Linked DNA regions of Arabidopsis thaliana. The protein of the gene in region 1 interacts with the protein of each later gene in a pairwise test. Each region holds a gene or a part of one and is shown in the gene's direction. Other genes may lie near its edges.

Evidence for each region.
Region 2: the proteins of APX1 (region 1) and AT4G19360 interact in a two-hybrid assay, tested with the Arabidopsis thaliana proteins (one large-scale study listed by BioGRID).

What each region holds. Positions count from the first base shown.
Region 1 is NC_003070.9:2,435,164-2,440,303, forward strand, and holds APX1 (ascorbate peroxidase 1), read left to right. Parts: upstream 1-2,117; 5' UTR 2,118-2,392; exon of another isoform or gene 2,393-2,829; 5' UTR 2,830-2,841; coding exon 2,842-2,960; intron 2,961-3,047; coding exon 3,048-3,222; intron 3,223-3,327; coding exon 3,328-3,393; intron 3,394-3,545; coding exon 3,546-3,680; intron 3,681-3,771; coding exon 3,772-3,851; intron 3,852-3,924; coding exon 3,925-4,027; intron 4,028-4,114; coding exon 4,115-4,173; coding exon of another isoform or gene 4,174-4,186; exon of another isoform or gene 4,187-4,256; coding exon 4,257-4,272; 3' UTR 4,273-4,502; downstream 4,503-5,140. Other genes in the region: ATMPK13 (Protein kinase superfamily protein), read right to left, coding at 1-126, 196-325, 407-549; AT1G07885 (uncharacterized protein), read right to left, coding at 1,500-1,664.
Region 2 is NC_003075.7:10,562,412-10,566,091, forward strand, and holds AT4G19360 (SCD6 protein-like protein), read left to right. Parts: upstream 1-1,747; coding exon 1,748-1,928; intron 1,929-2,023; coding exon 2,024-2,124; intron 2,125-2,213; coding exon 2,214-2,570; exon of another isoform or gene 2,571-2,636; intron 2,637-2,727; coding exon 2,728-2,823; intron 2,824-2,923; coding exon 2,924-2,995; downstream 2,996-3,680. Other genes in the region: EMB3006 (embryo defective 3006), read right to left, coding at 1-36, 133-214, 343-413, 503-535, 667-696, 802-870, 1,158-1,265.

The sequences.
Region 1 (5,140 bases):
ATCAGTTAGAGTTTGAGTGGATCTAATGATCTGGTGCAAATCTGTATCCATCAACTCATAAACAATATATACATCTTCGAACCTTTCTTTCTCTGGTAGCTCAATTATATCTTTAATTTTGATAACCTGTGTAGCAATATGAACGTAATAAGCCAACTATATGAGTGTTCATCAAAGTGAAGAAGAAGAGATTACATTGTCATGATCCATGTGGGAAAGGAGCTTGATCTCTCGGAGAGTTCTTTTAGCATCAACTCTGTTGTCAAACGCGTTTGCTATCTTCTTTATAGCAACCTCTTCATTTGTCTCTGAGTTTGTAGCACAGCTGTAATCATAAAAAAGGATTTGAGATTAAGATTGTATTCAAGAATGGTATGTTTTTTTATTGAAAGTGATAAAGACTTACCAGACAATACCATAAGCACCTCGGCCGATGGGTTCAATAGGAGGGATGTATTTTGAAGATAGCTCGAAAATGTTACCGAGTACATTGTACATAACATATCTACCATCATATGTCAAGATCCCTCCATCTTCCCTTTTCTCCATCTCTTCTTTGGAAGAAGAACTCGGATCAAGACAGGTTTTAAGATTAAAAAAGGAAGCAAGTTTTAAAAGACTGTTTCTCAAGTAGCTGTTGTTGCCGTTAAAAAGGCAAAGCAGTGAGTAAGAGGAGAGAAAATGGTGGCACCTTTTGCTTTTGGTGGGCCAAATGAAGACAAACTTTTTTATTTGATCCGTTGAACTTCGAAATTTGAATGAGAATTATTATTACAAGGTTAAAACTTGACTTCTGCATCATTAAAGAAAAATTCAAAAGAAACAAAAGAGAAGTATACTATAGAAAAAGCTATCTCATTGTGGATCAATAGGTCCCTAGGAACCAATAGTAAGTAAAAAGCAAAGTGGTAAACATACAAAAGCGAGATTATTCTCAAGTCTCATTTCAATGTCAAAACTCTCTCTTGTGTGCTAAGTAAACAGAACCTGTGTGAAAGTAAAACACCTCTGAACTCATTTTCACTATCTCACAAACCTGCATTATCGATCCAATTCTCCCATCTTATATCTTCTTACATATTAAGGATCAGAGAAGGTGATCAAACCTGATAATTATGTAGATGTAGCTGAAGCTAAGATATAAGGCTCAGGAACCACAAAAACATATCACTGAATATTTCAAATTAGCTTCAGCATTTTATGAGTCAAAATACTAAGAAACAATGCAAATTCTCTCATGAAAAGGCTCTCACATTGCTTTTGCATTCTCCGCAATTATGATCCAAACCTTAACCAAAAACAACTACCCTATAAGAGTATAAGACCATGTCTGCAGAAATCAGTAGTAACACAAGAATTTCATGAGATATTAAAGAAGAAGAAAAGTAGGCCACACAATAGAATTGAGGAATCAAGAAAACAGATACATACACTTGGGAAGGACCAGCACAGCAGACGTCTGTTACTACTAACTAACTCAGACTTGTCATTGAACTATATTATATACGGCTCACTTGTTTTGCTGCAGTAACTGGCTTATCTTCTTTTCTGGCTTGCGTTAATAACATGAGTAGAGAGAAAACACGACTTCCGTCGAGTAGATTCCTATCAAACAACACCGGTTCTCGAATCTTTCGACAAGCCAAGCAAAAGTAGGTGGGCATGAAAATTTGTTCCCCATGAAACAGAGGACATTCGTTGTTACCTATTCTAATAACCGATTCAAAATTCCGAATCGCAGACTTAATAAATGTGGACAATTAACCAAACCGTGCATTGCTAGGTCTAAACCGCATTGGTTTATGACCCACCAATCAAGGAGCGATGGGTGAGAAACCTAATAACACTGCTGCTGTGACTTTATCATATCCTTAGTCCAATTGGGATCTTCGTCTGCGTGAGACGCGTTCACACCTGCGACAGATGAAATCACGGAAATACCACTGCCCAACGTGTTCGCAATAAAAGTCCTCTGATGCCTAATTTCGTCAATTTACTGAAGAAAATTCAACATCAACGCCCTTTTTGATAATTTCCCCAAAGTTAGTGGGCCCTCCACACGAAGCATGTATCCTCCAATTGCATATTGCCAATTATTTCCTAATAATATTGAAGGATTATTCTTTTCCCATCTATATACCACCAACCCTAAGATCCGAACGTCCATTTTAAAGCCGTGCGTTTAATCATGATCGTCAATTATATTGGCAAATTTGACCACACGATATCCGTCATCTAACGGCATCTACAGATCTACCAGAACGTTCTCATTCATGACTCTATATATTTCGCATTTCTTCTCCTCAACGCTCTCATAAAAAGTAGTACTCGTGTCTTACTCGTGCCAGCCACTCGCATTTCTCCAGATTTTATTATCCTTCCTCGAAACAAGGTATGACGGAAACTCTCTCTCTCCCTCTCTGATCCGTCGTTGCTGCTTCCATTTTCATCTTGACTCGATCGGATCATTGTTATGCTTGGCTTGATCTGTGCTTAATGATGTGTTTTTCGTAGTAGATCCACGATTCGTTGCTGCGATCGGCGTTATTATCGTCAGCTCTCTCGTTTCTGTTCTGTGGTTCGATATTGCTGAGTTTCTAGGCTAATCTTACGAATCTGTGAAAGTTTTTGAGAGATTTGGCTTCTGTAGCTCACTCCTGCTTGATTTAGGTTTTTTTTTTTTCCACTCGTATGAAGCTGTTTTAGAGGCTGTTGTTGTTTATGATTCTCAGCTTGTTATGTATAGTTGGATTTCGTGAGTTTTGGATTTGATCTGTGCGTTTATTTAGTAGTGAGGCTCATGTATATATATCTGTGTATTTGTTCCAGAGCTTAGCTAAGATGACGAAGAACTACCCAACCGTGAGCGAAGATTACAAGAAGGCTGTTGAGAAGTGCAGGAGGAAGCTCAGAGGTTTGATCGCTGAGAAGAACTGTGCACCCATCATGGTCCGACTCGCGTAAGTAACTAACCATATTTGCTTGTGGTTTTGAAGTATGTAGGATTATGAACTTTCTCATGGCTGATCTGTCTGGCTAAACTGCAGATGGCACTCTGCTGGAACTTTCGATTGTCAATCAAGGACTGGAGGTCCATTCGGAACAATGAGGTTTGACGCTGAGCAAGCTCATGGAGCCAACAGTGGTATCCACATTGCTCTTAGGTTGTTGGACCCCATCAGGGAGCAATTCCCTACCATCTCTTTTGCTGATTTCCATCAGGTACATGGTTTTAAATTTTAAAAAGCACTATTTGGTTAACGGTGATAACTGTAAGGTTTGGATTCTAACTCTAGATATCCTTGTGGTGTGAAATTGATCATTCAGCTTGCTGGTGTTGTGGCCGTTGAAGTTACTGGTGGCCCTGACATTCCTTTCCACCCTGGAAGAGAGGTTAGTCATTGCTGTAGATTTGTTTGCCGTCTCTAAGGTTATCATATACTCAATTTGGTCGAGAGAACGTGTTCTGCTTTCTTTGTAGAGATGGCTGATTGATAATTGTGGGACTTGATTTTCTGTTTCTAAAATGCATATCTTGATTTCAGGACAAGCCCCAACCACCTCCAGAGGGTCGTCTTCCTGATGCTACCAAGGGTTGTGACCATTTGAGAGATGTCTTTGCTAAGCAGATGGGCTTATCTGACAAAGACATTGTCGCTTTATCTGGTGCCCACACTCTGGTTCGTTTCTCTCCAACTGCTTAAAACTTTAAAATTTGTTTGCTCCAAGCTTACAAATTCTGATGAGTGCTAGCAAAATATGATATCGCAGGGACGATGCCACAAGGATAGGTCTGGCTTCGAAGGTGCATGGACATCAAACCCTCTAATCTTCGACAACTCTTACTTCAAGTGAGTATCCCAAGTTCCCTTGTAGGAGGATTCAGTGGCTTATATGGTTACTAATCAAATTATATATGGGCAGGGAACTCTTGAGCGGAGAGAAGGAAGGCCTTCTTCAGCTTGTCTCTGACAAAGCACTATTGGACGACCCTGTTTTCCGTCCTTTGGTCGAGAAATACGCTGCTGTATGTCTTTCATTCCCTTTTTTCTGTTTTTCACTTGGTAGAGAGAGAGAGAAGAGAACTCATGGTTTCTTGTGACAATGTGAACAGGATGAAGATGCCTTTTTCGCTGATTACGCTGAGGCCCACATGAAGCTTTCTGAGCTTGGGTACTTATCCTGAATCTATGAATCATTTAGAAAGTAAATATTAATTCAGTGGTGTGATTTGAGTTTGTATCTGTTGGTTGCAGGTTTGCTGATGCTTAAGCTGTGACGTATGCTCTGTGTGTGTGTGTGTGTCTCCCCGAGAGTCATGGCTGTTTTTGGTTGGGGGCTGGAGGGGTCGCATTGCATTTGAACTTTGTCATATGATTGCTTAATGTACTCTCGGATTTACGTATCTGTTTTTTTCGGTGGGTTGCGATTTGAACACATCCGTTGCGCTTTTGCTGCTTAGACACATTAATAAAATTAATTTCTCTCGATATTTATGCCTCAAATCCATTCATATCTGCTTAGTCTCTAATAACAGTAGAACTTGGATTAAGAGTTTGAAGATACAGTGGCTAATTGCCTATATAAAGTGATAAACAGCCAAATCTTTAATCAGAAGTAGAAGTATTAGTATAACATGATTTGACTATGTACTACGAGATCAATGGTAAACCTGACATTGTTCCAAAACCAATCTAGACCAGTTCACTTACCGAATTTTAGTTCCATACCCATAAACCAATCCAAAGTGATTCTATCACCACATGCAACAGCATGTAATGATGTGGTGCCCGAATAGGCGGATTCCATCGATGTTGATCAGACGATGCTTTAGATCAAAGACCGGCGTGAGCTGAGACGGATGGCTCTGGCTTATAATGTCACCACTATGATTACCAAAGTGTTTGCTGCTTTGATCACGGCCGAGGGAGTAAAGAGCTTGAAGTCAAGTGTTATTCAAATGATTGTCATTCAGCACTCCTTTTCTAGGTGAAGGATCTTGCCTATGCGCTTCTCTAAAACCGTTTTTTTTTCTATTTTTATGTTGTCGATGGAAACGTCTCTTATTTTTATCTTGAATTGAACCGAATCTGCAATTAGGACCCTCTTGAATCTTGAGTGGTCTATGTCGTAATCAGGT
Region 2 (3,680 bases), on another chromosome or scaffold:
GATCCGGGCTTCCTTCTGGCGATTCTGTTCTTCAGCCTGGAAAGTGGATGAACACGAGAAGAAATTATTTTTAAGAAATGGCAACATAAGCAAATGACTAGTTTCTTGTGCCTTCTTTTTGAGCTTACTTACCCTTTGGAGCAAAACTGTTAACTTTTGTATCTCGTTCTTCTTAGATGTTGTAAGATCATATGCTATTGCCATTACATCAGTCCTGAGATGGAGTCATGGTGACAGTAATATCAGAATTCCAAAATGTGGGGACTTGACTTACAATTGAGGCCAATACCATAAATGGACAATAGTAAACAAAATGGATTAACCAATATGCATGAGACATACTTATCAGAAAACAAGGGATCCAAACTCTGTTCTTCGACCAGCTCCTCGACTGTATCAAGAATTGGTCCGACCTGCAAAGGGGAAAGCGTTTCAGTCAGAAGAATTTTGAAAAAATCTCTTACTTCACAAGTGTGTGGATGACAAAGCAAATAAGATGTACCTGAGTTTCGTGACATTGTTCATCAAACTCTTCCTGTAACAATGATGAAAACATAACTAAGAGTTTACAATTCATCACACTATGAATAGCCAAAAAATCACAAAAATTCATGTTTTAGAATAAAAACAACAACTTGAGAAAATTTCAGAGCAAAGGGTTACTACCTCTATTGTCTGATGCAAATTCACAACAACCTAGAAACATGTCAGAGAAAGAAAGATACATGAGAAAGGCTTCTCCTTGATTCATGTAACATAAAACCAATGGATCGAAAGAGAATGATAAAGAGAGATACATACCCGAGTATACAACTGAAAAAGCAGTTCTTGCTCAGCCCCACTGAATTTCGAGAAAATATCAACAAAATCCTACATAGTGATGGTTCACATAAAAAGGGTTACTATTAGTTAGTTAGTACACTACACATAAACCCGAAACAAAATCAACAAGACACTGCTATAGATAGATAGACAGTTCTCAAACCAGAAACAAAATCAAAAACCAAATTCAATTCTAATTAACTCAGGATCCAATCATCGAGAACACTTAAACCCTAAAACTTCAATTTTACCTAAATCAGACAGAACAAAACCCAAATTGCGATTTAAAAAAAAAAAAAAACAATGGAAAATGATTATGACATTGAAGCATATACCTGTTTGGAGCAAGCAGTGAGAAGATGTCGAAGAGTGGATTTGAATGATTTCTTCAGATGGGTTCGTCTTGAACCCGCAATATCCGTTTCATGACCCGGTTTCTCCATCTTAACCCGAATGATAACTTTTTTTTGTTGGTTTAAAGATTCCGGAAGAAGAAGTTGCTAACTGGTTAAAAACAAATGTACAAGTTGACAGAGAGATCAAGGACGGAAAATAGAAAATATCCCGGGAAGGCCCAGTTATATAGGCCCAGTTAAAACCCATAAGATTTTAGATTCAGACACAAGACAGGCATAGTAGTAGTAATTCACGGCCCATTACTTTTTCCTTTTTTCTTTTGCGCCAATTAACATTTTTTTTCTTTTTGCGCCAATTAACATTTTTTTTTCTTTTTGCGCCAATTAACATTTCTCTTTCCTATAAATTAAACCAGCTTAGAACGAAATTTTAAGGCAATATTTCAAATCGAACAATACTGCAAAACCAGAGAGAGGGAGAGCGAGAGAGATCAAAAAACCCTAATCGACTAAATCCTCTCTTCTTCTTCAAATTTTTGGTTAATTTCTTCGGCTGAAGAATAATAATCATGAAAACTGTGACTTCTCAGCATCCTTCTTCATTGTCACCACCATCTTTTCTTCCTCCACAAATTCCCGTCGAAGCGTACATAGGAAGTTTCGTCACTCTGATTGCTAACTTCGATATACGTTACGAAGGCATACTCTGTTTTCTCAATCTCCAAGAGTCGACTCTAGGTCTTCAAAACGGTACTTTATTTCGATTCCAAAACCTCTAAGAAACTTTGATTTGTTCTTTTCTTGTTGTGCAAGCTTTTCTAACTAGGTTTTTTTGTTTGTGGCAGTGGTATGTTATGGAACAGAAGGAAGGAACCAAAACGGAGTTCAAATTCCTCCGGATACTAAAATTCAGAATTACATTCTTTTCAACGGAAATAACATTAAGGTTAGTTAAATTGTTTTTATTTACGTATAATAATCACGAACCACCATTAGAGATTTGATTATTAATCTGTTGATATTTTTCTTTTACAGGAAATAATAGTTCAGCCTCCTACTTGGGGTTTAGCAAGAGGATCTACATGTAGTAAATCTTGTCTTGCCCCAAACCCACCGCTTCCTATAATTGTCTCACCAAACAATCGATCCGACGATAAGATACTCCAACAATTTCCATTGATCTCGAATGAAAATCTCATTCAACCGCAAGCTAAGACAGAGTCGAATGCTTTCTCAGTTAATGGATCAGTCAATGATAGATTTCCCATTGCTTCTCAACCACAGTTTCCTTCATACTTCTATGACCCTTATGTTTACCAGTCTATGCCTTATGCTGAACTTAGTCAAGCTCCTATATGGACGAATATTATGCATGACTCATCTGCCTTCAAGGTAACGTCTGCTGCAAGTCAAAGTTTTTTTGCCACGTTTCCGCCTGCGCCGATCTCTATTCAGCTGGTAATCTCATACATTCTCTATATGTTTCTGATCTTTGTTTTGTATTCCTTAAGCACCATCCCATAACTAATTACTTGTCTTTTGGTTGTAGAATTCTGTAAGATATGATTTTGAGGCAATGACTAAGAACGCTAAGCAGTACAACATATGGGGTCCTTCCCAAACCAAGGAAGAAGAGAGTTCAAAGGTGACCTTATATCTCTAGCTTAGTTTAATAGAGATCCGATGCTTTGAAGTCAGATGTTCAAGTTCCAACATATGTGTTTTGTTTTTTTGTTTTTTTGCAGCCTACTTATAACATTGATGGATCTTCTTACAAGATCTCGCGCACTCCGTTTGAGCCTATTGGGAGACCTTGAAATCCGCTTGGCCCTATCGCGAGACCTGTGAGAGATACCAAGGTTTGTTTCACAGCTTTTACCTCTAGTTATTCATTGAAAGATTACGTATATCCAATTTTATTGATAATTTTAATATCTTCATATTTCAGGTATTTGGAAATTACATACAAATGAGACTTCAATTACAACTACCACCAACATATTTCTGTAGTGGATACTATATGCCTTACTGACCTGTGAATCTCTGCTTTTGGGGTTTAAACATTTGTTTTGAGTCGATATCTTTTGTGGCACATATCATTAAGAATCATGTGTCTTTTGGTATCATGAACTTACCTTTTTTATTTAGGATTTTTGAAAGAATGTTGTTTCTTTCTTTTTTTCTTTTCTATTTGTTACAACCACTGATAAGTTAAATCTTCCAACATATGTAACAGTCTTTACTGTTTTTCTAGTTCCATGTTTAATTCTTCTCTATTCCCTTTGAGTTTTGACTTAAATGGGTCAAGTATAGTTGACTTGGTAAGTCTTGGGTGTCTGCATCTCCCACACGTGTGAAAGTACTATTCTCTTATTCATGTTGTAATAAGTTATAATCTTAGATTGATCAGAGTTATGTAGACCACTAGTTGAGGCTTGTAACTGGGAACGAATCTTCCTAATTGCCAGTCAATTGAGATAAAGAAGAAAATAGCATAATGCA